Linked DNA regions of Rhinolophus ferrumequinum. The protein of the gene in region 1 purifies or fractionates together with the protein of each later gene. This does not show direct contact. Links are inferred from orthologs where the notes say so. Each region holds a gene or a part of one and is shown in the gene's direction. Other genes may lie near its edges.

Evidence for each region.
Region 2: the proteins of POLR2J (region 1) and RPAP2 purify together in Homo sapiens (affinity purification with mass spectrometry; 5 studies listed by BioGRID and IntAct, with this or other methods). This does not show direct contact. The link is inferred for Rhinolophus ferrumequinum from reciprocal best matches to the Homo sapiens genes POLR2J and RPAP2.
Region 3: the proteins of POLR2J (region 1) and CTDP1 purify together in Homo sapiens (affinity purification with mass spectrometry; 4 studies listed by BioGRID and IntAct, with this or other methods). This does not show direct contact. The link is inferred for Rhinolophus ferrumequinum from reciprocal best matches to the Homo sapiens genes POLR2J and CTDP1.
Region 4: the proteins of POLR2J (region 1) and GTF2B purify together in Homo sapiens (affinity purification with mass spectrometry; 3 studies listed by BioGRID and IntAct, with this or other methods). This does not show direct contact. The link is inferred for Rhinolophus ferrumequinum from reciprocal best matches to the Homo sapiens genes POLR2J and GTF2B.

The regions. Positions count from the first base shown.
Region 1 is NC_046290.1:92,243,694-92,251,289, reverse strand, and holds the start of POLR2J (DNA-directed RNA polymerase II subunit RPB11-a), read left to right. Parts: upstream 1-4,588; 5' UTR 4,589-4,685; coding exon 4,686-4,738; intron 4,739-5,912; coding exon 5,913-6,002; intron 6,003-7,067; coding exon 7,068-7,242; intron 7,243-7,596. Other genes in the region: RASA4B (ras GTPase-activating protein 4B), read left to right, coding at 123-244. UniProt on the Homo sapiens protein: Core component of RNA polymerase II (Pol II), a DNA-dependent RNA polymerase which synthesizes mRNA precursors and many functional non-coding RNAs using the four ribonucleoside triphosphates as substrates.
Region 2 is NC_046292.1:69,719,427-69,726,837, forward strand, and holds the start of RPAP2 (putative RNA polymerase II subunit B1 CTD phosphatase RPAP2), read left to right. Parts: upstream 1-4,400; 5' UTR 4,401-4,453; coding exon 4,454-4,526; intron 4,527-5,241; coding exon 5,242-5,287; intron 5,288-7,411. Other genes in the region: GLMN (glomulin), read right to left, coding at 2,813-2,938, 3,365-3,403.
Region 3 is NC_046302.1:60,190,576-60,197,975, forward strand, and holds the start of CTDP1 (RNA polymerase II subunit A C-terminal domain phosphatase), read left to right. Parts: upstream 1-4,542; coding exon 4,543-4,847; intron 4,848-7,400. UniProt on the Homo sapiens protein: Processively dephosphorylates 'Ser-2' and 'Ser-5' of the heptad repeats YSPTSPS in the C-terminal domain of the largest RNA polymerase II subunit. This promotes the activity of RNA polymerase II.
Region 4 is NC_046292.1:67,093,077-67,100,589, reverse strand, and holds the start of GTF2B (transcription initiation factor IIB), read left to right. Parts: upstream 1-4,512; 5' UTR 4,513-4,626; coding exon 4,627-4,643; intron 4,644-7,513. UniProt on the Homo sapiens protein: General transcription factor that plays a role in transcription initiation by RNA polymerase II (Pol II). Involved in the pre-initiation complex (PIC) formation and Pol II recruitment at promoter DNA.

The DNA.
Region 1 (7,596 bases):
CCCTTCAGGGATGCTGTGTGTGGGGCTCCTGAGGGCCACTCCCAGGGGCCCTTTGGTCTTGGAGACAGGCACTGGCAGGCGAGGCCGTGCCTGCCTGACCCTCACTCTTCGTCTGCCTCCAGCCCTCGAGGACCCACTGGCCCAGATGCTGCAGGTTCTACAGGATCTCCAGGAGGCCCATAGCCGCAGCCCAGCCAGCTCTGAGCCCTTAGAGCCAAACTGCCTCCTGGAGCTACAGACGTGAGGTCTGTCCCACACTCTCTTGCCGAGCCCCCTGCCAGGTGCTTGGAGATCTCGGGTGCACTCTTGGTCCTTCACCTCAGTTCCTCTCATAGGGGTGCAGGACCCGAGTCTTTCCCGAGCTGGGGGAGTTTGGGAGGCCAGGGACCAGAGCGTCCAGACTTCAGGAACTGACAGGACTTGAGCCTGTCATTGCCCATGCAGAGTCTCTAGGGGACTCGGGCATCTGCTTCTCTGTGAGGCCTGGTTGCTCCCTGTGGGCCCTGCAGCCATCACCACCACTAGTCCAAACTCTCCAGGACCCTCCTCTCCTGCTCAGGATAGACCCAGCCAGAAACTATCCCTAGGAATGGCCGCACCAGGTGGACTGACACTTCCTGGGACTCAGAGAGGCGGGAGGGAACACAGGCCCCAGGAGACCAGGCCTGGACCTCAGCACCCACTTTACTCTCAGGCACCACCCTATCTGCTCCCTCACAGTGGCTGTGCCCTGGGAGAGCGTCACGGTGCTCTATTGCCAACAATAAACCTGATGTGACTGCGGCTCTGGGGTCTCGTGATGGGGGTCGGGAGGGAGTGGGCCCGGGAACCCCAAAGCCTGCTGGTGGTGGGGGGGGGGCACCAGCATAGTCTCTCTGCATCCCCGTCTCTTCTTTGCTTCCCCATCTCCCCTTTGCTTCCCCATCTCCCAGGGGGGCCTCCTTTCTCCTTCCAGCTGCTCTCCCCACCACGCCCCTGGTTCCCCTTCCTCCATCCCCCACAGGCTACAGAGCCTGACTTCGTTCACCAGCTGTTCTCTCCTTACAGCCCCCAGACAGGCCCTTTTTCCAAGTGTCCTGAAGACTGCACAGTGGGGGCGGGTTCAGAACCTGGAATCACGTGGCCTGGCCCTGGAAAGCGTCCCTTATGCCACCCTCCTTAGCAAAAGCAAGGCTCCTCTGCTTGTCACCTCCCTGTCCTCATCCCGCTCCATCTAGGTACACAGTAACCTCCAACATAATTAACAAGACTTGAGGGGCAGGGGCTTCCAGCACGTTCTTTGAATCTCATCCAACCAAGCTTCAAGCCTTGCCTGTGAATACTAGGCCTAGCACAGTTCCCAAGGGCCTGGGTCACAGGCAGGCCCCCTGACACAGCTGACCGGCCAGGTCCTGGGGCAGGGCCATCTGGGCTGGCTGCATAGTGGGTTCTTTGAGAGATGGCAGAGAAAGCAAAGGGGGCATGAAGGAACAAGGGGCTGCCCTCTTCCCTCTACCCTATGGCATTTGGGGCCATGGTGATCCTTTCTGGCCACAGCCTTGATGGGGGTACAGTGTCCTCCCATAAGCAGCCCACCAACCCCCGCCCCTTTATATGTTCATTGCCTCTTGGTCATGATGCCACCATCCTATGGACCTTACGAGCCTCTTTGCAGGGCTAGGTACCCCCCCACACACACACCTGCCTTCTTAACCCAGGGCTTGGGTCCAGCGCTGGATGAGCCCCTGGTTCTCTGGCTACTTCTTTAGAGTCACACAAATCCTTGTGCCTGTTGGATCTTCTTGGGTTTCAAGGACCTCAAAGGAAGTGTAGACCCCACTGTCTCCTGAGCCCTAGTTCAGGGAGTGAAGGGGAAAGAGGTGTGCACTTGTTGACTGCAACAAGTAGAATTCTGGATTTTAACAGCGCGCATACACCACCCACTGGCAACGCCCACCACCCTGTCCTCCAGTGGACACCGGTGTGGACGTGGCCACTGCAGCCAGAAGGGGAATTCAAATGAGTAAGGGCCTGGGACTGCCTCCATCGCTCATGTACCTCCACCCACAGAGTCGCCTCTCAGGCTCCGAGCCCCGGATGCCACATTGTTTTAGGAAGCCACCTGGGAAAAAAGGGACAGAGGAGATGCCTGCCTGCCCATGGCACAGGAAGGTGCCAGAGGTCACACCTACCTGCCCAGGGATTCTATACCAACACCCCCCACCCTGGGATTGCCAGGTCTGTTATTCACCCAGAGCCTGCGTCAAGTCCCCCAGATGTCTTAAGGGTCTGATTGGACCCTCCCACAGAGCCCTGCTGCCCAGGAGGCAGGCTGGCAGCGCAGGGCAGGCATCCTGGGAAACCCTGAGTGGGTCCAGCTCACATGGTACGTGCATCTTTCATCCTCTGGGCCTGTCCTGTAGGAAATCTGGGCAAATTCCCACCAACTTCCTTTTGGAAAAGTGTAATTCCTGCCAAAACGTAATTTTCAAGTACGTAAAAAGAAATAACTTACACAAATACAGAATAAACGTATCAGATATTTACACATCAAAGAGGAAATGAATGTTTGGTAAAGCTGGTTTGTAGAGCACTTTGAGAAGCTAGGTATTTGTAAGCATTTTGAGGAAAGAATGCTACAATAGGGCAGGCCCCGTCGCGGTGCAATTCCCACAGGGGCCAGTGAGCTGCGCCCTCTACAGCTAAGTTGTGAACAACAGCTCTTCCTGGAGCTGGGCTGCCGTGAGCGGCTGACCGATGACTGGCGACCGACTGCCTCAGCCGGGGTAGGGGGGTGGGGGGGCACAGGCTCATAACACCAGCATGGGCCAGGGAGCTGTGTCCTACACAACTAGACTGAGAAACAATGGCTTGAACTGGAATGGGGGGGGGAGGCAAAAGAGGGGGGAAAATAATACTAGAATAAATTGTGATGTTAAAAAACTGGGAAATGGAGTTTTCTTCTCTATGGGATACAAACCTACAAGTTCATAAATAACTTCAGTTTGATGATAAATAAAACATCAAAGTCAAACACAGGTCCATTCCCCAAGATTAGGGATTTTAAAGGCCCAGGCATGCAAGTTTTGGTCATAATTACTCTCAGAGCACAAAAGTAGCCATAGACAATGAGGAAACAAATGGGCTTGGCTTACTCCAACAAAACTTATTTACAAAAACTTGGCAGGCTTGATTTGGTTCACAAGCCCTCACCGTTTGACGATCTCTGCCATACATAAGTAAGCCTTGGTCAGGCCTGTTCAGCCACGCTCCAGTGTTACACTGACAGAACATGCCACACACACCCAATATTTATCATCACACGTCCAGCAGCCCCTTTCGCAGTGTGCCAGGCAGGCCTGTCTTACCAGAAGATAGGAACGGTCACTTGGCCTCCTCTTGGGGCACACCAAAATTGAGCCTCTGAAGGCTCGATTCGGGGAGGGCTGACATCTTCTGAAGCCCAGAATCTCGTGTTGGTCTGGGAATCAAAGGGTGAGTACGACCAGAACTCCCCAAGAGAGGACAGACTTCCACAGTGGAAAGAAGGGTGAAGCCTCTGCTGGGTAAAAGTCCTCTCCCCACCCTGTCCAGTTAAGGGCGGCCAGCCTCGGCACCTCCAGGCCCCTGCAGTCGTGGCAATGGTAGCATCCTTGGTCCAAACATTTCCAGGATGATCCAGGAGGGTAGGGGTGACAACCTTGGGACATCATTACCCTCATTGCCTTCTATTCTTCACCAGTTAAAGAGGCCTCCACCCACTTGACCTGGAGAGTCAAGGTTTCTGTAGATCTCCAGTGAATGAGGCTTCCTTACCCCAGGGCTCAAGGCTTAAGTAGGAAATGGCCCTTCCCAGGAAATGGTAGTAAAGTTCCAGATTTCCTTGGGGGCTCCTTGGCTGCTGCTCAGACCTAGGAAACAGCTGGGAAGCTGTTAGGGCTCCAGTAGCTGAGACTCCAGCCCCTGTTGCTCCAAACAGCTCAGGTAGGGCCTGTATACTAAGCTGTAGTCTGCAGGATATCAACCCAAACGGACGGTACACCTATCCCTCGCAGCGCCTCTCACACCTCTATACACCTGCCGTCTCCCTCAGCCCTCACCCAACTGTCTCCCTAATAAGCTCACTAGGACACAAGCCTACTTGGCAAGCCAGTGACAACACAGCCAGGGGCCTTGTAGCAATCTGCCCAGGCAGCCTTAGCAGGGGGCTTATCCGTACATAGCCGTCTGGCTTAAGGGATGGATACCCACGAGCCTGTGAGGTTTCTGTCAGCCCCACCAGACACACCTATCCACTGCCCCGTGGCTCCATTGTCCACTCGGGGACCTCTTGCTGTGCACTCCAAGGGCACATTTCCGAAGAGGGATCAAGGGACATAGGGAGAAGAGAGGTGGAGCCCAGGGCTGCCGCTTAGCCTGCACGAGGAAGTCAGTGCGCAGAGCAGCTCCCCGCTCTCCGAGCCTGCGCCACAGTGCGCTCCCAGGGGGGCGAACGCCACAAGGGACCTTCGCGGCTCACGCGTGCGCAGAGCCAGCAGCCGGCCCGGGCCCTCCGCGCGTTCTCCCGCCTGCGCGAGATCCCCCAGTCCAGTAGGGGGCGCCGAGCCGGGCCGTACACGTGTTCGGCCCCGTCGGCTAACCCGGAAGAAGTCGCGGGAAAGCGCCCTGGAGGTAGTGGAGAGTCTGCAGGACGCGGCGGCGCCAGGATGAACGCCCCTCCCGCCTTCGAGTCGTTCTTGCTGTTCGAAGGCGAGAAGAAGTAAGTGGGCAGGGGAGGGTCAGGCCTTCGACTGTCGGTCGTGGGCGTCTGCAGAGTCTGGGGCTTCGCCTGCTCTCCTGCGGGGCGGGCGGAAGCAGCTGTTGCTTGAGCTTCGGCGCGCAAAGCGCCCGGCGCCTGTGTCTGCCAGACTTCAGGTAGTCCTGCCAAGCGGTGGGGACTGTTGCCTTTGCAGCTGAGGAAACTGAGGCTCAGAGAGGTTACGTAATTCCCCGGCACAGGAAGTGGCGGGTCTGTGTTGGAACCCAGAATGGCTGCCTCCGAAATCCTTTTCCCCTGGGATTGGCAGCCCCCTCCTCGGCTCCTAGCTGACCACCTTTATTCTCCTTGCTGAAGCCAGAAAGAGATGGCTGTTAGACTCATGTGCAATCTCCATTCGCTTGTGTAAAACCTTCATTGCTTGCAGGCTGAAGGAAAATGTAGTCTGCTGGTCAGACAGCCTGGGCTTGGCGCCTGCTTCCCCCGCGTAAGGACCCTTGTTTGGGCAAGTGAATTAATCTGCCTGAGGCCCACTTTCATCATCTAGAAAACGGGCTTATTACTGTATTGAATTATGAGTAAACCTAAGGGGAGATTAAATGAGGTAACTTATGTGAAGTGCTTAGTCCAGGGCTCAGCATCTAGAAGACCCTCTTAAACATTGGCTTTTCATTCTCAACAGCCTGGTGTGCAGGGCTCTATGTTTAGCCCTTGCCAGCCACTTCAGCCTCCCTTGAGAGCAGTGCTTCTCAACTGGAGACTATTTTGCCCCCCCTCCCCGCCCCCCAGGACTTCTGGCTATGTCTGCAAACGTTTTTGGTTGTCATAAAGGGTGCGCTCCTGGCATCTAATGGGTAGAAGCCAGGAATCCTACAATGGACAGACAGCTCCCTACCAAAAAGAATTATCTGGCTTAAAATGGCAGTGGTGCCAAGGTGGAGAAACTGTGCTTTAGGAAGAAGGAGCAATCCGGAGGAGGTGAGGGTCCCACAGAATCGGCGTGACTGGGCTCAGAGTATACACTAACTGCTGCTCTGAGTCAGAGAGGCCTTTATGGGATGAAGAGATTGCGACAGGCTTCCAGGAGGTGGGACCCGAGCCTGCCTGGAAGGGCAGGCTTTAGACTCGGAGGAGGAGGGAGCCCCTGCCCCCATCTCTTGCCTCTGCGTCTTCCTAGGATCACGATTAACAAGGACACCAAGGTACCCAATGCCTGCTTGTTCACCATCAACAAAGAAGATCATACGCTAGGAAACATTATTAAATCGTAAGTTCCAAGTCCAAGGCTCTTGGGGGCTGTGTTGGATGGGACTCTGAGGCAAAGCACAAGTTCCAGAAGATTTTCTTAAGTCTCTTTGAGCTACAAGAAGTCCTTCTGATGGCTCGCTCTGGCAGTTCACTTTCCAGTACCTTTTCTTCAAAGGTACTGGAATCTGTTCACATAGCCACATTTCCTTTTGGCTCATTTATCTGACTGAAGTGAGTGAATGAATGTGCAGGAAGCCGCAAGTAGGCCTGCTTGTTTTTGTGCCTTTCTCAGGTTTGCGTGTTTAGGGTGTGGGCAGAAGCCTGCCTGGTGTCCTGGTGTAAGTAGGGGGTGGGGTTGCCCACCTGTCTGGATGACTCCTGCCTGAGCCAAGCCAGTGGGGCACTCAGGGTCTTTGGGGGCCTTGCTGCTCCTCTGCTGTGAGCTGTGTCCCTACCTTGCAAGGTGCTCACACTTGACACCTTGCTCTGCAGAAAACACCCGCGTGTCCAGCAAACAGCACAGGCTTCACCTCACCACCACCTCACAGAACAGCACCCCACGGGTGTGGGCAGCTGCCAGCCCCTTCCAAAGGACTTCGGTTTCCATTTTGCTAACTGCTCAGAGCTTGGGGCCTTCTCCCCCTGCTGCCTTTGTTTGCCGTGCCAGAGGCTCTTTTGGGGCTAGGAACGGGCCTTTTGTGTTTTGGTTTACTGAACATTGGCTGGATTTTTACTGCCTAGGGAGGTCTTTTTGGGGTCATTGCAGGGTCCCTGACTTCCCCTCGGGAAAGAAGTTACTGGAAAACCTGTTTATTAGCTAAGGTTCCTGATCCTGATGGATGTAGGGGTGTGTGTGGGAGGAATCACCATATGGTATATCTTCTCCAAAGTTAGCTTTTACTTGAAGACTTTTTTGGCGGGGGGCAGGGGGACAACTAAAAACCAAGTGTAGGGAACCACCTAGTGTCAGCCCCCAGCCACATCTGCAACAGGAAGACCCCTTGGCTAGGCCTGGTAAGCTCCAAGGGGCCAGAGCGCCAGGGGCACTCGGCTCAGCCTTGCTCACTGCTGACCCGTGTCGCAGGCAGCTGCTGAAGGACCCCCAGGTGCTGTTTGCTGGCTACAAAGTGCCCCACCCTCTGGAGCACAAAATCATCATCCGCGTGCAGACCACCCCGGACTACAGCCCCCAGGAGGCCTTCACCAATGCCATCACAGACCTCATCAGCGAGCTCTCCCTGCTGGAAGAGCGATTCCGGGTGAGGAGCTGGACGTGCAGGGGGAGAGGGGAGGTGGGAACGCCAGCCTGTGTGCCCAGAGCTGCAGGGCTGTCGTGCCCACACCTAGGACCACCCAGGGTTGTTTCCTCGGACTTGTGTGGGGGGAAGGGGTGATGACAGCAAGGACTTCCCCCACTGCTTCCCGGAAGTGTGGAGAAGGGGTTAGGAGTTGAGGCATGGCGCCTGCTGTCGGCGTCCGTGCGCAGGAACGGACCTAGTGCTCCAAGGTCTCCTTGTGCACTCTTGGGGTCCCTGCTGCCCCCTGCTGCTGCTCCTCCAAAGCTCTTCGCTGGTGCTGGCCGCTTCTAGGGCATCTGTCTAGGGGGCAGCTCA
Region 2 (7,411 bases), on another chromosome or scaffold:
CAGTCCAACCCCCTAACCATGCTTTATTTTTCTGTATGGTATTTATCACTTTCTAACATACTACATAATTTATTTATTGTGCATATATCTATCTTCCTTAACGTTTAAGATCCATATGCAGAGTGATTTTTGTTCACTGCTATACCTATTTCCAGCATCTAGAGTAGGACCTGTTATAAAATAGGTGTTCCATAAATATAAGTTAAATGATGTCTATTACTTTTAAACATAACAAATTATCCTCCATCCAAAGATTTGATATTCTGTTCCATTTTATTCTATTTATGTGTGTGGCTTGGATTATAATATTTAGGTCTTTACTAATCAGGAACTTATGTTACGTGGTCAATTTTTTTTCAAATACTAAATATTCCATCATTACTTATTAAATAAGCCTACACTCGCTTTAAAAACTAATTCCTCTGAGACTCTACTTTTTCAACTAAGCACTTCTTTCCCTTTCTACCCTATAAGTGATTCTGAGAGTAATTAACTATAAGAGAAATTCCATATTTGAATAAGATTTTGCATATCTAAGCTGAAAAAAATAATTATGGTAAAATATTTTACAAACATAATCTCAGTTACAAGGAATCCAGTCATTATGTAAATAGTGAATAGTTAGTTATGAGGAAGGCAAATATCAACTATCTATAAGCTATACTGTTTAGTTTAATCTTAGCAACCTTACAGGGTAAGATTATTATCCCCAATTGACAGATGAGAATGCCGAAGTTTAGAGATTACTGACATGCCCAATGTCCAACAACTAAAATGTGGCACAGCAGGATTTGCATATAAGTCTCTCTAGCTCCAAAGCCCGTGCTTTCCCCACTATACCAATGGCTTTCAATGGGGGCAATTTTGATATCTACCAGGACATATTTGGCAATGTCTGGAGACATTTTTGATTGTCATTCCTGGGGGGGAGGATTGCTATAATATCAATAGTGCCAGTGTTGAGAAACCCCGCACTATAAGTATCTTAGGACAAACTATTCATATGGCTTTCTTTAAAAAAAACATTTACATGAAGTAGATTAATAGTAAATCTTGATCAATCTTGATTGTGTCACTGGCAAAAAAAAATAAGTTGCAGTCAGTTTTTAAGCATTGTCTTATCAATATCTGAACCTCTGAATTTAGCTGACCATATGTTACAAAGATGATTCTCAAGCTACTAAGACTAAGCCTCACTATTCTTAAATCTACCACAATCACCTAATCTCTAATAGTCATGCACAAATCTACATCTGAATCTCCTAGTTCTCTACTGAGCTCCACACTATTTTTCAATTACATACTGCATCTTAAACTCACCATTTCCAAAGTACACTTATTTGTCCTCCTTTAGGAAACTTCTCTTCTTAGGTAGCCGTTTTCTGTTTGGGATGTTTCTACCCTCTCAGAGGCTAGAAACCTAGCCATCTTTGATGTCTCACTCTCTCTCACCCCCACAATCAATGAGTTCCCTCTATTCTACTCTAAACCTTCCATGCAAGTGCTACATCGTGCTCACTGGAGGCAGAGCCGAGTGGATAAAAGTTCTAAAACCGAACTGCACAGGTCTGAATCCTGGATGCCGCATAAAATCTGTTACTTTTGGGCAAGTCACTTATCTTTCAGCGCCTGTTTCCTTATCTACAAAATGAATTTAACAGTAGTACATCATGGGATTCTGGAGAGGCTACATGAGTTAACAGATGTAAAGCACTTAAGACAGTATCTGACACATAGTAAATACTCAATAAATATTAGCTATTATTAATTTTATTATTACTAGCTAAAAGTAAGGTACTTTGAAAGGTTATCCTCTGAGAATGCAATTGGAAAAAATCAAGGAATTAAAGAAAACATTAAATTTACTTTATTTTGGGCTACAAAGGTACCATAAACACACCAAAAACAAATGTATTAAACAAATGTCCTAATTTTTCTAAAAATATTTTCTTAAATAAAAAAGGGATTGGCCCTTTAAACTACTAAGAGAATTTACAACAATGTGTGATTTAAAAGTTTTAGTAATTTCCCAAACACAATAAAGGTATCCTGGATATAATCACTGACCAGCACGTCTAGATTGTGATAGCAAGAAAGAAAACTTCTGTAGAAATAAATAGCACCATAAAGGAAGAAAAAGTGTGTCCTGGAAAAGAAGATGCTCCTCCTTTGTACAAGAAGCGGAGTCCAAAGACACAAAATTTGGCAGTGTTGCCAACATGTTTCTGAGAAAAAGCTGTTTCTGATCCTCAAAAGATCCTTTCCCATCGCAGAGAATGATTTATCAGACATTCGTAGCTGGATCATATTGGCCAAGTCATTCAGCTTTCCCGTTCTGATTTTATCTACTCAAAATATTATATACCCAAAATGTTATCTTACTTAATATTTGGTTTTCTATATACTTCTGGCTGGAGGAACAGAATGTGCAATCACCAAAAATTAATACCTAGCCTGCCTGATACTTATATTTCTCAAGGTAAATTCGTGACCCAAATGCTACTTGTGATGGTTCAACCAGATGTAATCCCTGCTCTCCTAAAGCACTTTACTTATACTTCAACTATAGCACTTATTTTATTCATTCTGCCTCCTTAATGCTAGTTGTTTACATGTTTGTCTCTTCCACCAGACTGTGAGTACCTTAAAGTATATAGTCCCAATTCCTTTTTTGTTTCTAGTTTCCTCCTGTGGAAATTTAAGTTAGTTGATTCTTAAATGTTTGATGGATAATGAATGGATGAATAATAGCATCGTGTGGATATTCTCTTCCAGGTAAAGGCTGAAAAGTTTGCACAAAGATTATACTTACCTTATTCTTTTCATTCTGAATAATTTCTAATAGCTGGTCTATGTGCCCTTCATCTATGCATCTTTGTCCTGCTAACTGAAATAGACCAAAATCTTCTTCTTTGAAGTCTCGCTCTTCTAGGATTTGCTGGCAAACAAACAAACAAAAACCAAACATGTTTAGGCAAATAAAAATTCAATAATGACTTGATATATTTTCTCTCTGAAAAAAAGGAAATCTGTTTAAATTGTAGGTAAGTTACACATAAACATACGTATGAAAATTAGGATTAGCCTAATAAATACTTTAGTGAATGATCCTGAAATCCACTATATCAAAGAAACCTTTAATAAGGATTAAGATTAAAAATTTTAAAGGTTATTTAGAAAAGTATGTCATTTGGAGAAATAACCCAATTGCCTTCCTGCCCTATCACTATTTATACATAGGTCAAAAAAAGCAAGGATTAAAGAAGATAAACAATTCGAGTGACTACAAATATAATTAAAAATAATCTATGCCCTTCTCATATTTTGAAAGATATTTAACTTTACAAAAAGAAAAATTACTTACACATCTCTTTATTACGGATTGAAGTTCCTCCACAGCCATTCCTCCTTATTTTTCCTAGCTTTGAGACTGAAATGTACTAACATAAAACACAGTTAACTATCAGAAATATTACATTTAAGTATTAATAAGTGATATTTCATTCTGATGAATTTTTAAATACAATAAAGAAAATGTAGTTTTAATGCTGAAATGCTACTACTAAAAGTAGTCTGTTAACCTAAGAAAAGTTTATTTAAAAAAAAACTATTGCACCTTTTCAAGTTTTCTTAAACACAGCTTTGCTTAGTGTAGTTTTGAAAGATACATCCGAAAATAAAAACCTCTAGAGCACTCCCAAAAGGACGGCAAATAGGGACTACACAAAGTGCATTGAAAAGGCAAAGTGTTTCATTTCTGAAAACATTTCCAAAAGGTGGGCCTAAAATCAATTCTAATCAACAGGGAATTTCTCATTTTTTAATGTCCTACTTGACAAAAATTGAAGTCAACACAACTCACCCAGAATGGGTGGAAGTTCAGATGCCCTCCAGCCCCTGTGTGACCAGGACATTTCCCTTAAGAAATGAAGTACCCAAAATAATCAATCCAGTCAGTGAGATCAACCGGCGGCGCTCAGGAGAACCCCGTTCCATTCCCGCTGGCCATCGTTTCTCCCAGCTTGAAGGCCCGGCACCAGCTCCGCAGGAAGGGCGCGCGGGTCCGGGGGTCCTCACCGCAGCGCGCTCCAGGGCGGACAAAACCCCAGCGCGCGTGCGGGCGGCATCCAAGGGAAGCCATTTCTCCTGATTCCTGCTAGTCGTGGCGCTCGGGCCTCACCACTTCGCCGGGCCTAATCGGCCGGCGGCACCGCATCCTCCGCGGCTCAAGGCCCGCCGCGAGCCCCCGCCGTCCGGGACCTCCCGCTGCGTCCACTTACCCGCCAGGACTCTTGCCCCTTTCAGCGTCCTCCTCCACCTCCTCTTCTGGCCGCGTAGGCCGCTCTCCGAGCCCCGCCCCACTCCGGTCGGCCCCGCCCCGCGCTGCGCAAGGGGAGGCGGAGCCTCAGGGGGAAACTCTAGGGTCGGACGCGATAGTCGGACGACGCTCTCCATGGCTGAGTCGGCCTGGCAACCCTCCGCGGGCCGCAAGGCTGGGGCCCCGCGCCCCCGCCGAAACGCCGCAGGTAGGCAAAAGAGCCTCTTTCCACGTTTTGACCCCGAGAACTGAGCCCCTACAGGGTTCTAGATTAAGGCGCGCGGGGTGCTCCCGAAAAGCTTTCTCGGGGGTGGAGGTCTTCGGGGACGGAGAAGGCCAAGAGCTTCCCACCGCCGTCCTCGCGCCCCCTGGGAAAGACCTTCGGCCGAACCCCCAAATCTTTACACTAGCGTTCCAAGATTTTCCCCCAGATGGCCTCTGAGGGAAAGGACAGTAGAGTTCCTGGAAGCCTAGAGCTGGAGTCGCCAGAATGGGCAAGTGAGCAGGGCGGCATCAGCCAGCGGTGTGCGGCTGCCGGTGAACCTCCCATCGGTCCTTCCATTTGTCCTGCGGCTTTGGTGCCCCTGTTCTCTGAGGTATTGGAGAATCACCTCCCTTCTTGCCAGGGAGTGAACATTTGAGGGCCGGAGAGAGGCTTCCCCTAAAAGTACCCAGATTTCAGATTTTTCACGAGTGCTTAAGTATGCATCTATGATACAGGAGAAAATTCAATCCCGAAGGAGATACATGTTAACCAGGAAAAATTTGGGAATAATTAATTTACAAAAACAAATTGGATTCCCTTCCCATTTCATTTTAAATATGTGGAAAAGAAGAAAAGATGATATACAGTTTATTTGGGCAGGAATCTGTTCTATAACCTAATGTGTGCAGACTTGACTAACTTTGTTTTTTAATTTTAGGTACTAAACAGACAGGTGCTTTGAAACAGCAAGATGCTTCTAAAAGGTATGAAAACTACTTGGACAACTGCATTCACTTAGCTGTTTATCTCATATTAATTGAACCATTTTTAAAAACAATAATGGGTGCTACCTTAGAGAAATTTATTATGAGAAGGGGAAGATCTGAAAGCACTATAAATTCTCACATAGACAGTTATATCCCCCTACTCCATGCTTTAAGAAAACCAAATCAGACATTTTTAGGTTGCTGGTGAAGGTGTATGAGTATCTGTAGAAAGGTGTACATGGGAATAGACGTTCCTGAATTAACCAAGTACTCTTTTTCCACCTCTTTGTATACTCCTTTTTTTGCTTTATGTGTTAGAGACTCCAAGAAGCCTTGTCTGTCCCATGTTTGTATCATGTCCAAATTTTCAACAAGAAGTTGTCCTGTATTGTCTCTTGGCTTCTAAAAAGACAAGATTTATCTTCTGTCACAAAATGTTTCTAGAGTAGGAGTAGTCTGAGATGATTAAAAAATACATACCTGTGATACATCATTTTATGAAGTGTTGGCTTTGTCTTAATTCAATTAATCTTTCAAAAATATTTACTGAGTGTAAGATATACCAGACTTGTATTAGGCCCCAAGGATATGGTTTTGAACAGAATAGACATAGTTAACTAGTTGAACAGAGAAATACCAATTAAATTATCAAAAATAGATATATAATTACAAATTGTAATAAGTGCTGTAAAGGAGGAGGAGTAACAGGAGTCCAGGTTAGCTGGAGTTTTGTGGGTTTTTAGGGAAGGACTTTTGAGAACAGAATAAGCTGAGTCCTGAAGGCTAAGTAGACATTAATCAAAGAGTAGTAAGGAGAGACCTATAGTCAGAAGTGGGAGTACGTGTGACAAGAAAGGCACGGTCATTTAAAGAAAGCAGAGATGCCCAGGATGATGTGCCAGCATTCTGAGCAAGGGAAGTAAGGAGCATAGGAAAAGGTTAGAGAGGCAGGATTCCATTCATATAGACCTAATAGGCAATGGTGAGAAATTTAGATTTTCTAAGTGCAAATGGAAAAACTTTAAGTAATAAAGTAATGGAATTTAAGTTTAAAAAGTTTTAAGGTGTTAGGGGAGGTGATCATCTGGGAATGGAGAAATTGGATGAATTGGAGATCTGTTTTGGAAAGTACAGGCATACCTGGGAGGTAGTACGTGTTCAGTTTCAGACCACCACAATAGAGTGAGTTTAGTTAATATTGATAATGATGGTAATTTGCAACTTTCTTCAACACTGATCTGACCACAAACCTGAAGAGATTATATTTTATTTTGAGCAGATCATTCAAGATGATGAAACAATTAAAAATCCATGGGGTAACCAAATAGTTGTTGAGGGAAACGATCCTTTATAAATTTATTCCAATTGCAAAATACTTCTATATTCAATCCAAATGAATAGTTTTAAGCCAGAAATTAAAGAACTTTGCAAAAATATAAAATAATTCCACTATTCACACTAAATATTTTATTTTAATTTTTTATTGGGGAATATTGGGGAACAGTGTGTTTCTCCAGGGCCCATCAGCTCCAAGTCGTTGTCCTTCAATCTAGTTGTGGAGGGTGCAGCTCATTGGCCCATGTGGGAATCGAATCAGCAACCCTGTTCAGAGCTCGCACTCTAACCAACTGAGCCATCTAGCCGCCCCGACACTAAATTTTTATTTCAAAATGTTAACATGTAAATTGTATATTATTATTAAATGAATTAATAAATAAATGGTTTAAAATTTTCTCACTTTTAATCCTACTGTGGTAAATATAATGTACATAAGCAAAAGCTCGAATTTTAAAAGTACCAGGTCTGCCAGTTAAGTTCGCGAACTTGCCACTATGCACTTACATTGGCAGCATTGTACAAAGAGCTCAGTAAGGTTTCATAACTTTAGTATATCAGTGTCTCACAGCTGTGTTCATGTCGACGTGTGGCGGTGTCTTGCTAAGTGGCATTCATTATTGTTGTTGCATGTTTTTGTGTGCCATCTCGCGAATGTCTGTGCTTGAATTAGAGCAATGAACAAACATTAAATTTCTCGTTAAATTTGGAAAGAGTGGAAGTGAAATCAGGGACATGTTAGTCGAAGTTTATGGGGATAATGCTATGAAGAAAATTGCAGTGTAC
Region 3 (7,400 bases), on another chromosome or scaffold:
TCTTACTCAGAGGGCCGGCACGGTGACTCAGGTGGTAGGAGCTCCGTGCTCCTAACTCCGAAGGCTGCCGGTTCAATTCCCACGTGGGCTAGTGGGCTCCCAACCACAAGGTTGCCAGTTTAATTCCTCGAGTCCCGCAAGGGATGGTGGGCTCCGCCCCCTACAACTAAGATTGAACATGGCAGGCAGCTTGAGCTGAGCTGCCTCCCAGATGGCTCAGTTGGTTGGAGCGCGTCCTCTCAACCACAAGGTTGCCGGTTCGACTCCCACAAGGGATGGTGGGCTGTGCCCCCTGCAACTAGAAAACGGCAACTGGACCTGGAGCTGAGCTGCGCCCTCCACAACTAAGACTGAAAGGACAACTTGACTTGGAAAAAAGTCCTGGAAGTACACGCTGTTCCCCAATAAAGTCCTGTTCCCCTTCCCCAATAAAAAAAATTAATTAAAAAAAAAATCTCTTTACTTCTCCTGGGTCCGTGTTTCCATTCTTCGGTCTCACGAGACACGATCCTGGCCCACACCCAGAAACTGCCTGCAGATCCAACATCGTTTGGGGACTCAGAGGAAAAATATTCCTCCATCAATTCTATCACAGGCTCAGGAAACTCGGACGTAAGGACCCCAAGGGCACTCACAAGCTCTCTTCCCAATATGCCGTTCCCTGCTGTTTCTCTGCTGTTAATGTGTCCTCTTCCAGAGCCATTTTTCATTCCTTCTCACTGACCTGCCAAACAAGTGACAAAACCTGGTGGCTGTAACTCAGCAGCTCTCCCTGCAAACACTCCCCTCTGATCAGACAACCTCAGAAGTGGGGTCTTTATCTCCAGGTTCTCTCAGCCCTTAGCTGCCAGCATTGTCTTAAGCACAGATTAAATAAGCTCATACATCTGCTCAAAAACTTTTCATGACTACCCACTGCCTACCTTGCTACACATTCAAATAACCCGGTAAGCAAAACTCCCGATACTCAGATCCGACCCCAAACTAATTAAGTCAGAATTTTGAGGGATGGGACCGTGGTATGTGTCCTTTTTCAAACATCCCAGTACTGTTCCTTGGGGTTTTGCCACAAAGGACTCTTATTAAGGGAACGCACAGAACCTCAACCATGATGGTCCTCATGGCCGGAATGCCCATTTCCTCTTTACCTCGTGTCAAAACCCCACTCACCGTCTTCTTCCTCAGGTAGTCACTGCTGCAATAACACGGGAAAATGAATAATTGCAGATATCGTGTTTTAGAAGACATCAAGGCACTCTGGAGAATAAGAGGATGAAAAGAAAGAAAATCCCTGAGAGAGAAAACCTGTCCCCGGATAAACTGCCATCAGTGGCCCTTTTCTTCTCTCAACCATTCGCTGAGTATGGGCAGAGTCTGAGCTCGAGCTTGACAGATGGAGAGATTTGGCCAAAGGGGAGATAAGTCCTCTGTGTTGGCTTGTGTGATGGGCTGGACACAAAGGAGCCCCACATACACAGCTGCTTTTCCTCCCAGGACACTTGCTTAGTGCTGGGGAAGCATGTAGGGGTGGGGTTGTGGCCAGGCTTTCGAGACAGTGTGAAATGTACAGTTTGAGATAACTATGAATGAATAAATTCCCACCAGCAAGAGGGCCTGCTATTGCACACAAGAAGTCTTGCTTTCGAGATATTTGAAGCCAAAACTGGACTGAGCCAAACCTAAGACTCCAGCACAGCCCTGACAAAATCAATATTCTTGATTGTATTGAGGTGATCAGCCCTTCAACGTGTGTGCCCAAAGGAGAAAGGTTGAGGTGTTCTCTGTCTGTGCTTCTTCTATGCACGAGGTGTGGCATACTAATAATACAAACAATCCTGATACCTGTATCTTATGTTTTTGTGTAAGTTCTGGTGAGGGCACTGGGCCTGGTGAGCCAGTGCAAAAGGGAGGGAGGGAGACCAAGGAGTGAGTCCTGAGACGCTCCTTGGCACAGCACTCGAGAGGTGGCAAGAAGGCTTTTTGGAGCACAGCAAAATGGCCTCCTGAGGCTTCCATGACTGTTCAGGGTAAGTTTCGGGAGGGTAGCAGCTGAGAACTTGCAACTACCGCTAAATCTGAAAAAAGTATGTTTTTGTGACAGCTCGAGTGACCTGGGGGTGGTGACAGGGGCTGAGGTCCCCTCCTTTTATCAGGAAAAGGATTCAAGCATCACAAAAAAATGAAATGCCACCATGGCAAGGTAGGTAAGATAGGACATTACAGTCACCGTGTGGCTCAAGCATACAGAGGTGGGGAAGCGCCAACCACCTCATGGCAAAAACATGAAAATGGTGGTGCTGTTTTCTAAGGAATAGGGTCAAAATCACTTTAACAGAAAATATACTTTCACCAGAAGGGCTAGACCGTATTAATTCCAGAAAACGAAGCTCCTTTAAGCGAGGTGGACTTGCTTCTTGGATAACCAGAGAAAAAATCAGCAATAGCTCCATCTAGCTGGGCAGTGTGCCTTCCTTTAACACCTGCCAGGCCTGACGACCTGGGCTTGGAAAGGAGCTTCTGGAGAAGGCTGTATGGGAGGACCAGAGGTAAAGCCCCAGGTAACACAGGTGGGCAGAAAACAGTATTGACGTTGAACACCCTCTTCGGAAGCTCTGAAGTCCATGAGGCATTTTTTTAACACTCAGAGAAAATAAGTGAGGTTAGTTCTATTTACGTGTTGTAGGCCTACTCCTATTTTCTATTTCTTCAATTTCGGTATGTTTGTTTTTCTAGGAATTTTTTATGCATTTCACCTAAGTTATCTAACTTGTTGGCATACAGTTGTTCATATTATTCCCTTAGAATCTTTTTTATTTTTTGTGAGGTCGGTAGTGCTATTTTCTTTCATTCCTAATTTTGGTAATTCTCTCTTTTATTCCTGATCAATCCAGCTAAAATTTTGTCAATTTTTTAAAAATCTTTTCAAAGAACCAAAGAGTCTTTTTAATCTTTTGGCTTTGTAGATTTCCTCTACTGTTTATTTGTTTTATTTCTGCTTTAATCATTTCTTATCTGTTTGTTTTGGGTTTCGCTTTCTGATTTCTTACGGACAAAGGCTAGATTATTAATATTTGTTCTTAATCTTTAATATATTAGATATTTTAGCCACGTATTTCTAAGCATTGCATTAGCTGTAGCACACAAGTTGTAGTATATTTCTGTTTACTTTCAATCATAAACATTTTGCTGGTCTGATTTCCTTCGATACATTGGTTACTTATGACTACTGTTTAACATCCAACCAACTGTAAATTTCCCATGTTGGTTTCTCACTTAATGTCATGGTGCCCAGAGAAAAAGCTTGGTATGGTGTCAGTCCTTTTACACTTTCTGAGGATTGTTTTATGTCCTAGCACACAACCTGTCCTGGAGCAAGTTCCGCACGGAGGTAAAGAGAAGGAGCATGTGCTGCTTTGAGGATTCACAGTTGTTCCAGCCCGCTGTCCTTTCCGATCTTGCACCTCGTTGTTCCACCCGACGTTGACGTTGGGTATTGAAGAGCACAACTGCCACTGTCACTTGTCTGCCTCCCTGTCACTCTGTCAGTTTCTGCTTTCTGCGTCTGAGGCTCTGTCGCTGTGGCAGGTGCTCCGTCCACATTTCCCGGGGGCGGGGGGCAAGAGGGGAATTGCAGGTCTTTAATGGTTGTGAAGAATGCCCTTCAAGGAACCAAGAACGACCATTTCCATAAATTATCCCGCACTCAAAAGCGGCGAGAGCGCCGAGGTATCCCCACGCGCGGCCTCCGCAGGAGTGCGGCTCGGAGGGCGAGAGGCAGGGCCCGAGTCCGAGAACACCGCCAAACACATGACCTGCCGCGAGGTGCAGGGCCGGACGTCCATCGCCCTCTGACCCCTGCCTGGGCACTGGCATGCCAGGACCGCAGCTCCACGACGCCCGCTTTGCAAACCAAGACTCAGACTAATGACACCGGGTCTCAACACGTGATGGGACTGCCGGTCAGCGTCCGGAGTTGCATGCCGGGACTCGTAGTTCTCATGACGACCGCCTTAGCGCGCGAGGGGAATGTCGGACGGCGGCCCGCGTTGTATGCCGGGACTCGCAGAGCCTGACGGGGATACGGGGTATGGCAGTGCGCGGTGCATGGCGGGACTCATAATTTAACAACGCCCGGGCCTCAGCGCATAAACGGAGTTGTGGGACATTAGCAAGCGTTGCATACCGGTCACCTGTACTCATAGGGTAAACGGCGTAGGGACACTGTTCCCGCCGGACCCAGCCCCACGGGTTTGGTACTATGGCGCCTATGGTACCTGCGGCTGGCGCAGCGCCTCTCGAGGACAGTGCGGGCTTGTTTACACGCGGGCCGCACGGCGCACGCACGCACGCGACGTCACGTGACGTCATGCGTTGTCCCGGAAGTCGGCGCGGACCAGGGCGGCGGGTGGAAGCCGGTGTAGGAGTGGGAATCGCAGCGCAGCCACCGCCTCCGCCTGGGCCGGGGTCGCCCGCCCGCCGGCGATGGGCACCGTTGCCTGAGCACCCGTCTGCCGCATCTCCGCAGCGACCCCGCTGGCCGGGATGGAGGCGCCGCCCGCCGGCCGCGTTCCCGCCGAGGGCGTCCCGCCGGCGGCCGTGGCCGAGGTGCGCTGCCCGGGCCCCGGGCCGCTGCGTCTGCTCGAATGGAGGGTGGCGGCGGGCACAACCGTGCGCATTGGCTCGGTGCTGGCCGTGTGCGAGGCCGCCGCCTCCGCGCAGCCCTCCGGACCTGCTCCTGCTCGCGCCGGCTCGGGTGGCTGCGTGCGCGCCGAGCGCAGGCTGAGGTCGGAGCGCGCCGGCGTGGTGCGGGAGCTGTGCGCGCACCCGGGCCAGGTGGTGGCTCCCGGGTGAGTAGGTCGGGGGAGAGGGCAGCAACAGGGAGGGGAGGGAGGGAGCGCCGGGAGGGTTCTCTGGGCCAGGAAAGGGGACCGGCCCGGACACTAGGTAGGAAAGGGTCTCAGGGGCTGCGGCTGAAGGGGCTGCGCTCGGGGAGAACTTTGGAAGGTAGGAACACCCCCACCCCCCGCGGCTGCGCGGCTGCGTGCTTTTCTGAGGCTGCACAAGTCACCGCTTGTGATTTTTGTGTAGGAAATGGTTGTGTTCGTTTCTCTTCTGTAATCGCTGTCTCTCCCCAACACTCGGCATTTGTAAGTTAGGAAAACTCGGTGCGACGGCGAGTACTGGAAGAAGAGCACGCTCCGCGCTTGTCATCGCAGTATAAACAAGCTGTTGGGGCTGTCCTCTGCCTTAGGTGTCGGCAGCCTCGGGAGACGCGGTCGTAAAACCCGGCGGTGTGTGCAGCGTAGTTCGGGAAGGGGTGCAGCCGGTGACAGAGTGGTAGTGCCCCTCCTGCCACGGGCTCTAGCTGTGGGTGCTTATGTTTTCTCATGAAGGACTTTGCTTCCTCTTCTGAAGTGTGTGAACCTGTCTCCGCGCATACTTTCTGTCTGAGTTTACCGGGGTGGTGCTCTTGAGATCGGCTTGAAGTGTGGGCACAGGTGTGTTGTTTCATTGTCGGCAACAGGGAGCCAGGGCAGGGGGACATTCCTGCGCCCTGCTGTCGTGGCCGGTGCGCAGCTTCCTCGGCGGCGACCGGAGTGTGCCAGGTGCTCAGGCCCCTGTCCACCCTGGCGCTCCTCCGGTGGTGCTGCCTGCCCTGTCTCGGCTCCTCTCCGTGGGGCCTGCTCTCACCGTCCACCTGTTGAGTATCTCCTCCCTCCCGGACTCTGATGACCAGGGCAGGATGGGACAGGACCGTGCTCCATCCCAGCCCGGGACCCTCACCCTCGTCCACTCTCCCTCTCATCCCTTGGAGGAAGGTCCCTGGCCGTCAGCTCAGGCGCCCACGCCTGCCCCGTGGATGCGGGTGGGTGGGATGGATGCCACCTGGGAACTGCACCCTCACTGGAGCTGTGTGCCTGGCTTCCTGTAGGAGGGAGGGGCACTGTGCTCTGGGTGACACACTGGCATGCTGTCATCATTACTTTGAAGTCACCTGTTACCTGACCTTCGCTTGGGCGCTAATGAGCCTGTAAACGCACCAGCCTGTGAATGACGGAGACGAAGCCCAGTGCTGGTGCATCACCGTGTAGAAAACCCCAGAAGTGGAGAGGCTTCTCTGTGCCGCTCTGTCCCTCTGGTTGTACAGAGAAGGCCCCCGGGGCCCAGACAAGCTCGTCGGTGGGAAGCTCCACATGTAGTGCTGCGAGCGCATCAAGCTGGCCAAGCACATCCGAGTGACCAGTCAGTCCATTGTCTCCCAGTCTGCTGCATACCCAGTGTGATGACAGGTTCCCAGCTGTGAGTCGCTGCTGCTTTCAGTGTTTCAGTGTTTGAGCCTTGGGGTGCCCCACTGCAGGGGCCCATCACAGGCTCTTTGAGAATTTGGTGACTGACAGCGTTTCTCCTGGAATGTAGGTGTGAGCGAGCATTGCAGCTCCCGCGCAGAGCCCGGCACCCCTGGCAGAGTTGTTCGTTGTCACTGCCATCAGCAGGAGGCATCCTGGCCACAGTGGGCGGGGCTCACTCTCCACAGTGGACAGTTCTAGGAACTTAGGAATGCTGGCTTTCTACTGTACAGTTTCGCAGTGAGGACTTATGTTACTATTATTTGCCTTCATGTTCAGATTATCCCACCGTTGGTCAGTGGGAGCCCCTTCAAGCTGCCTCCTCCGACAGGGCCCCGTGTCGGAGCACCACCCTGCTTTCTGACGCAGTAGTATTCGGGCTCTAGCTCTCGCAGTCCCCGCCCTGGAACCAGCCATTAGGCCAAGAAGTGCTGTTTCCTTGTGATGGAGAATGGCATTTAGAGACAAAGAGCCGTATGCGCTGAGTTCCTTTTCCCAGTCCGCCCCTATCCTCAGACACTTCACGGTCAGCACAGATCCCTGATATGTTCAAGGAAGAGGGAGGTGGGGCCCACCCAGCCTAGTGTTTAACAGTGACCGCTCCCTAGCAGAGTTCAGGGCGCCCAGCCCCGACACTTCCCTTTCTGCTGTGGGCCCTCAGACCTCCCCATTACAGCAGACACGAAAGCTAGTGAAGACAGACATAGCAGGACAGTTTGGTATACAAGCAGGACTTGTGTATTTTGGGGGAAATAACTTGTTTGCAAAGCTCATTCATGATTTGCCTATGGATTTTCTTCAAGGACCAAGCAGAAAAGTTAACATTTATTGGTGACTGACTCGACATCCGGGTTGGTCTCCTTGGCTAAAGCGAGGTATTTTTGGACTCGGGGCACCACTCCCTTTCAGGTGCGGTGATACTCTCTGGAGGGTTGACAGAAGAGGTACTGAGACCCTCTGGGTACCTGAACCCGTCTGTCAGTATCTGCAGGGATGAAGCAAACAGCACACTCAGAGAGGACATTGCTCTCATGTCTTTTCTGATTACCTTTT
Region 4 (7,513 bases), on another chromosome or scaffold:
TATCAGAGTAATTTAGAAGTTTAAAAGGAAACTACTGCTCACTGAACATTGAATTAAAAAATGAATTAATTTCTAGCAATCACCTCCCTGATTCTGTACGCAGATAACTGACAGTTAATATTTTCTATTTATAGATTATTAATGTTTTAAGCCAATATTCTATTTTCTAGCATTTCAAAGAAATGCTGGTTTTTCTAGTGAAAACCTGTATGTATTCTCAAATGGAGGAGACGCCAGCAATTACTGGGAATCAAAGGTTTCAAATAAATAAACAAATGGAAAAAATAAATTCAGAATCACATATGTAAGTGTATTTAGCAAAGGGAATAAGCCAGGCACATTTCTGTTTGTGTATCACATGGTCTGACAAACACAAGTGTCCTTAGTAGACAGCTGGCCAGGATATTTAGAGTACAGCTGCCCCCAAATAGGAAGCCCACATGAATGCTGTAGGCACATTGCTTATTGAATCCATTCCCTGATCGTAAAATCTTTAAATCTAAATTTCTGTATACTGAGTTCTATTAAGAGGCATACTTCATGGATTCTGAAACAGAATTACCACTGTTTCAAATCCCTGGTCTGTCATTTACGAGCTGTGTCACTTCAGGCTAGTAACTTAACCATTCTGTACCCTCAATTTTTTCCATCCATAAAATGGGCACAATAATAGTATCCAACTCATAGAATTGTTAGAAAGATTAAATGGGTTAATACGTATATATACAGTCTTAAAATAGTACTGGGCACATAGTAAGCACTATGTAAGTGTTTGCTATTATTACCATAGTTATTAATTTTTATTACTACTTCTACCTGAATTTAATAAAGCTTTATAGCTGTTATTAAAGAATAAAAAGGATCGTGAATGCTTCTACAAATATAATCTGTATTTCCCAGGGCACAGTTAATTTGGGTCTAAAAAATATAGTCTTGCAATAACGGTTACAGAGTAGGCAAGCATAGAAGTGGAGAGTTTAATCATTCTTGGCTTTGAATCCTACCTACACCTGTAACTTGCTGCATGAGCCTGGGAAGTTTACCTATTTAACATCTCTAAACCTTTAGGAGAATAATCACATTTGCCTGACATGATAACCAAGACTTCGATAAGATAATGAATGTGAGGTACCTAACAGATGGCTCAATGCATATGGACCTTACTTAGGTCTACTTTCAAGAACTCAACTAGCTCTTGCAGCTCCATGTGGGCCCTCCCTGTCCACTTTCTGACTCCTTGCCACCTTAACAGGGACTTCTCTGCTGCCCAGTGAAACCAAACACCGAGAAGCATGCCCAGGATGATCACCAACTGAAAACTTGGTGTGTAAACAAATCATTGGTAATGCAGTTTTATAATGCTATATATGCTATATTAAAAAGGTTTAAAAGTCCTTATTTTTTAGAAATGTACACTAAAGTATGTATGAGTCAAGGTGACATATGGAGTTTTGTTTTTAAAATATTTTACCAAAGGGAGAAAAAAGAAATAAAGGACACATGAAACAAATGTGGCAAAATCTTCACATTGTTTAATCAGGATGATAGGCACATGAGGATTCATTATATTCTCTCTAATGGTTAGTGTGTTTGAACTTCATACGTGATATAAAAAAATTGGAAAAAAATTTATACCTTCACATTTTTAGAAGAAGTACAGATGGCTCCTTAGCCATCAGGCATATGAGGCTTGTCTAATATTCTAGACATTTCATCCCATTTCCAAAAGAGTCCAAGTCAGACCAGGTCATACATTTCACTGAATCCTTCATTCTTTCTGAATATGTCATATATTACCGAACAAATATTTATCCAACCTTGCTTAGGTTATGGAAATTGTCATCTGTTCCAACAGACACTTTTATAACAGACATTTATATATCATTATTTCCAAAAGTGAGGCTGCAAGGTAAGTCTAATGCCAACTTATGTCTAATTTCCAAAATTATGCCAACTGAAAGAAGCCAGACACAAAACACAATATATCATACAATTCCATTTATATGGAAAATCCAGAAAAGGCAAACCTATAGAGATTGACAGTAGGTAAGTGGTTCCTGGGGCTGGAAATGGAATAGGCAATCACTCTGCATGGGCATGAGTGATCTTATTGGGATGATGGAAACGTGTTAAAACTGGATCGTGGGGGTGGTTGCACAATTTGGTAAAATTACTGAAAATCATTGACTTTAAACAGGTGAATTCAGGGCAGCTGGTTAGCTCAGTTGGTTAGAGCGTGGTACTCTTAACAACAAAGTTGCCAGTTTGATCCCCACATGGGCCACTGTGAGCTGCGCCCTCCACAAGTAGATTGAAACAACTACTTGACTTGGAGCTGATGGGTCCTGGAAAAACACACTTAAAATGAATAAAAGTTTTTTAAAAAAAAGGTGAATTCTGTGGTATATACTTACACCTCAAAACATTAAAAAAAAAGATATATCTAGGTGGGTCACAAACTTTAAAGAAACCATTTATTAGGCATGTCGAACATTTTATAGTTTAGAAGAAAGAATTTTAGCACAAGTTGTGATTTCACATTAGTTATATAAACTTAAAATAAATTTTTAAGTTCAAATAGATGAGTTAACTTAAATAATTAATTTAAATAAATTATTTCAATTAATCCAGATAATTAAATAAAAATAATGACACTAACAAACTAGAAGTTCTGGTAAATGCTAGTCTGGGTTATTGATTCCTAGGTGATAAAACCCCAGTTTGTGTGTGTGTTTGTGTTAATCTCAGGATCAGATATAAAGATAAAATGGGATAATGTTGATGAAAATGTTTTATAATATAAATTGCCAATGCTGTAGAAATAAAGAAAAAGGAATAATCTACCTAAGCGGCTTTTATTTTAATATAATAGAAATCCTAACTAGTAGGTTATGTCAGGTAAGAGACTCTCCAGGTTGGGCAGGAGTAAATCAGCCGGTTGTCCAGCTTCCTTCCTCTGGAGTGTCAATTTCTCTGGTGTTTTCTTCCTTGCACAAACATTATGGAACGCCTACCATGAATCCATTCGTTAGTAGGTCCTTATTCTTGATCCTCAAAAGGTACTCAGTTGTCCTCCTCCTCCTCTCCCTCTTCTTTTCCCATATCAAGGTGCTCTACTATAACAACTTCCTGCCTGATTGGGAAGAAGCGCTCCCCACCAACCACGCTCCTGGTTGCACTTGGCACAGGTTAAATGAATTGGCATTTTTGACTCTTTCCCCAATATTAAAGGAGAATATCCCCCTCCACACACACAATAGTATAGTCAAGTTTTTAAACTACAGATTGGAGGGCTGAAAAAAAAAAAAAAAGCTCTCAAATCTCCATCTAGATTTCGCTTCCTAAACTCCTGTCTCTTACACCCCTTTTCCTTTCTAAGGAAGCAAGTCTTTCCCACCTTTCAACAAAACAATCAGTGCTCAGTGTGATTTGCTACCTTAGTGAACGAATCAATGAAATTACCCAGGAAAATTGTCAAAGGAACCCTGCAGACGGGCTACCCCTGAGATAATCTCCCTCAACTTGACTCAGTGAAAACACAAAGACAACCCTGGCTTGGTGTTGGGAGAAAAGCCCACATTCCCGCGGGCTAACTACTCTCCCCGCACACGGAAATCAGTTACTCCAGTTGGTCTGCAATTCTTACTTGCCTAAAGGGGTAATTCCACTGGAATTTGGAATTTTAAGTCCCATACCCAAATGAACAAAGCAGCCACTATATTCTAAGTCCACATCCCCATAGAAACCGGGAGCACCCTTTTTCTTCCTATCTCCACAGGGTTAAGGGTGGCTTGTTTTCAGAAAAGTGGTGGTAGTGTTATTATTACTGTTACTTTTCTGACGTTAATTTGACTAATTAGGGATATCTAAACGTTTTGGTAAATTCTCTATATTTCAGCTATCAGCCAAATTTGCAAAGGCCATGGGAAAAAAAACAATCAGGATAGGGCTCCACATCTCCCTGCCTCACGGGTGTACTGTGCTCTCTCATGGTTTTGTTTCATCTTCTGCCAATTCTAAAAGGGTATGCAAGGCAGATACTATTACTCTTTGCGCCAATAGCGAAGGGAGAAGGGATATGCCTAAGAAGACACAGCTTGCTATTTGATGACAGAGCCTAAATTGATACCGGTCTGGCTAACCCAAGTTAATTTCTCTTTTAATTCCAAATTCCCTAGTGGAATTACCCACCTAGCAAGTAAGAATTGCAAGCCCAACTGGAGTAACCGACTTCCGGGTGGGGGGAGGGTAGTTAGCCCTCCGGAATGTGGGCTTTTCCCCCCAACACCATGCCAGGGTTGTCTTTCTTTGTGTTTTAACTGAGTCAAGTTGAGGGTATCTCAGGGGTAGCCCGTCTGCAGGGTTCCTTTGAAAGTTTTCCTGGGTAGTTTCGCTGATTTCGCCCAGCAACGTAACAAGCTACAGAAACCAAACAGCAAAATAAAAGGCAAAGCACGTGGCATACCCGATCTCACTTTTCTTGGCCCCTCTCCGGATCCGTAGCCACGCCCCATTGCGACTGCGTGGGAGACTCGCCTATAAAGCTCGGCTCGGAGCGTCTGGTCGCCACAGTCTCTTCCTGTTCTCTCTCTCTTGTTTTTCGCTGGAACCGCAGTGGCCGTGAAGATGGCGTCTACCAGCCGGTTAGTATGTCCCGCCGAGCCCGGCTAGGTGAGGGGCGGGCGGAGAGTGCCAGGCGGCCGCCGGGGCTGCCGCGTCGGGCACAACGTCCCGGAGATACAGGGTGAGGCGGCAGGACTGGTTGGCCGACCTGGACAAAGACACTTCCAGACGGCACGGCTGTCAGGGGTGTCGCAGGGGGTACAGAGCCGTCGGCGTCTTTGGTCGCGTTCTCACCCTGGCATTGGTATCACCCTGTGGGGGCCCCTATATCCCCAGCCCCTGGCCTCGCGTCTTTTGCGTATGTTTCAACCGTTTTTGTTTTTACTTTTTCTACGCTTGTTTTTCCATTTATGGCTCAATCATCTCGAGGGTCCGTGATTCCTCCTTTCCAAAGAGCGGGAAAGGGTTAGTTCCAGGCCCCTATCAACCTGACAGCTAGAAAGTTGGGGACGTCAGTATTGCTAAGCCTGATGGAAATTGATTATCATCCCAGAGGCCCTCTGAAGTGGAAGTTGCGGCATTTCCGAAGATTTGATAAATTCTCTTCTGAGCGATTTCTTTACAAATGTCTTCATTTCCCCGAAGAAAATCTTGGCCTGCAGAAAATTATTTACATATGCTGGGAAGTCAGTCTTTAACAAATTTTTAAAATGCAGTGGACTCATCTACAGGAAATGTATGCAGTGCCCTTAGAGACAGCCTGTGATCCTGTGACCTGAAAAATGCTTGCAGACCCTAGTTATCTCTCTTATTAACACTATGAGGTAGATAGTATTTTTGTATGAATGTAAACTGAGTCATGCCAATGTTGCCTATCCCAAGATGAGTGTGAGTGTAGAGTCTCTTATCTATTTCCTGTTATCATAGGATGGGTCTCTAGTTAACTCATAATGTATTAAAAGTATCAAATTAAGTTCTGTAGCTTTTGAACGGCAGTTCTGGCATAATTGTTTGAACTTGTTACGATCTGGAATTGAGTTTCCAATGAAAGCCATTATCACAAACAGTGAGTTGGAGATGTATGTCCAGGCTCTTTCTGGTAACTGCCAAGACTCACTATTTTATGTTACTGTATTTTTTTAAGGGGGTGGGGAGGCAGCTTTAGCTAATGGCCTGTTTGGAAATAACTCTTAAAGTCAATGACACTCTTGTTTATTTATTTTGATTCTATGATTGAACACTCAGTCATTCTATCTGGGCGTGACTCTGTCAGGTAAGGCTTCCTTGTAAGTTAAATGGAAAACTTCAGCTTCCCAAAGACACCTAAATAGGAATTAACAAGTCTTTCATAGCAGTAGGTCTGAAAAGTGAATGTGCTCACATTTGGACACAGCTTTTACATGTGATAGAACAGGAAATTGTATTTGAAAGAAATGGGGCAATAGTTTAGTAAATTCACTTGATAAAATTCTTTACCCAAAAGTACTTTCCTTTGCCTTTATTTTTTTCGTTTGTTAGAAAAATGTTTGAAAATAAACTTTTTCTAGACATACCCAGCTCTTAAATATGTGTATTATTGCAGTTATCCAGCTCTTGAATTTTTCTACCAGTGACAACAAATGTAAATGTTAGTATTTCTACCGTTAGCTATTTTTTTCCTGAGGAAGATGTCCAGTTACTAGACTATGAAGCTGCCTAGTGCTTTCACAGAGAAGAGCACAAATTCAAATTCTGAATTCAAATTTAAGCTCCACTACTTACTAATTCTGTGACTTGAAGCAAATCATTCTGTGAGCATAATCTTTAAAATAGAGATAATGTGCCTGTCTTGCGAGGTTGGTGTTGGGATTAATAATACATGTATAACACTAGACAGTAGGCACCCAGTAAGGTACAGCTATACAGTTGAGGCTGGGATTATCTAGCTCTTTAGGTAGTCTCATTTTTTTAAATGTTAGGGGTGGTTGTTTACTTCCCTTCCGCAGTATTTCTCACCCTTACTTCCCCCACCACCCCATTCTATGGTTCCTCTTTTGTATTACTTTTGTGGATAATTTGATTAAAAGTTAGCATAGTTTCATTTTATTTTGGATAGGTAACACATACACACATGGTATAAAAACAAAACGAAAAGTGAAAACCAGTCTGCCTCTTTCCCTAGCTCGGAGCCTTCTAATTCTCCCCCAAAGCAGAGATTAAAACCAGTTTCTTGGTGTTTTCCCAGTGAATCTATGCTTGAGCAAACATATGCATATAGTTTTCATCTCTCTTCCCCTTCCAAAATGTTTAATGTAAACACTGTTTGCTGCCTTTTTACTTTTTTAATGAAGTTAGCACACATTTTAAGTGCACAGCTCAATCACAAGGTGAGAAAGTACACAGAGCTACTACTCAGGTAATAAATCAAATACCACTAGCACCCTGGAAGCCACCTTTGTGTCCTCAGTAACTACCCTTCCCAAAGATAACCACATCCTGACTTCCAACACCATAGATTCGTTTTGCTCACTTTATATAGATGGCATATGTATTCCTCTGTCTAGGTTTTTATCAGCATTTTGAGATTCACCTATGTTATTGTATATAACTGTCATTGATACTTTTCCAGTTATATTTAAAATCCTTACTTATTTTCACTTAGCGTATCTTTGAGATGTTTCCATATCATTTATATACCTACACACACACTACATGATATTCTATGAACCATTTAAGAGTGTAGAATACATCAGTCCTTTTCTTTGTATGCTGTGTGCCACATGGCTGCCCAGTTTATGCATTTGTAATTACTGTTACTCTGCTAACATTCACTTTATTTCAGCAATTTTTCATGATTTTTTAACATTTCATAATAATTTATTAAAATATTTTTCTAATAGGAATTTATGAAATAAGCCTGAATCTAAAGCAAACCATTTTTTTCAATGAAAAGATCGAAGACATGTTCTGG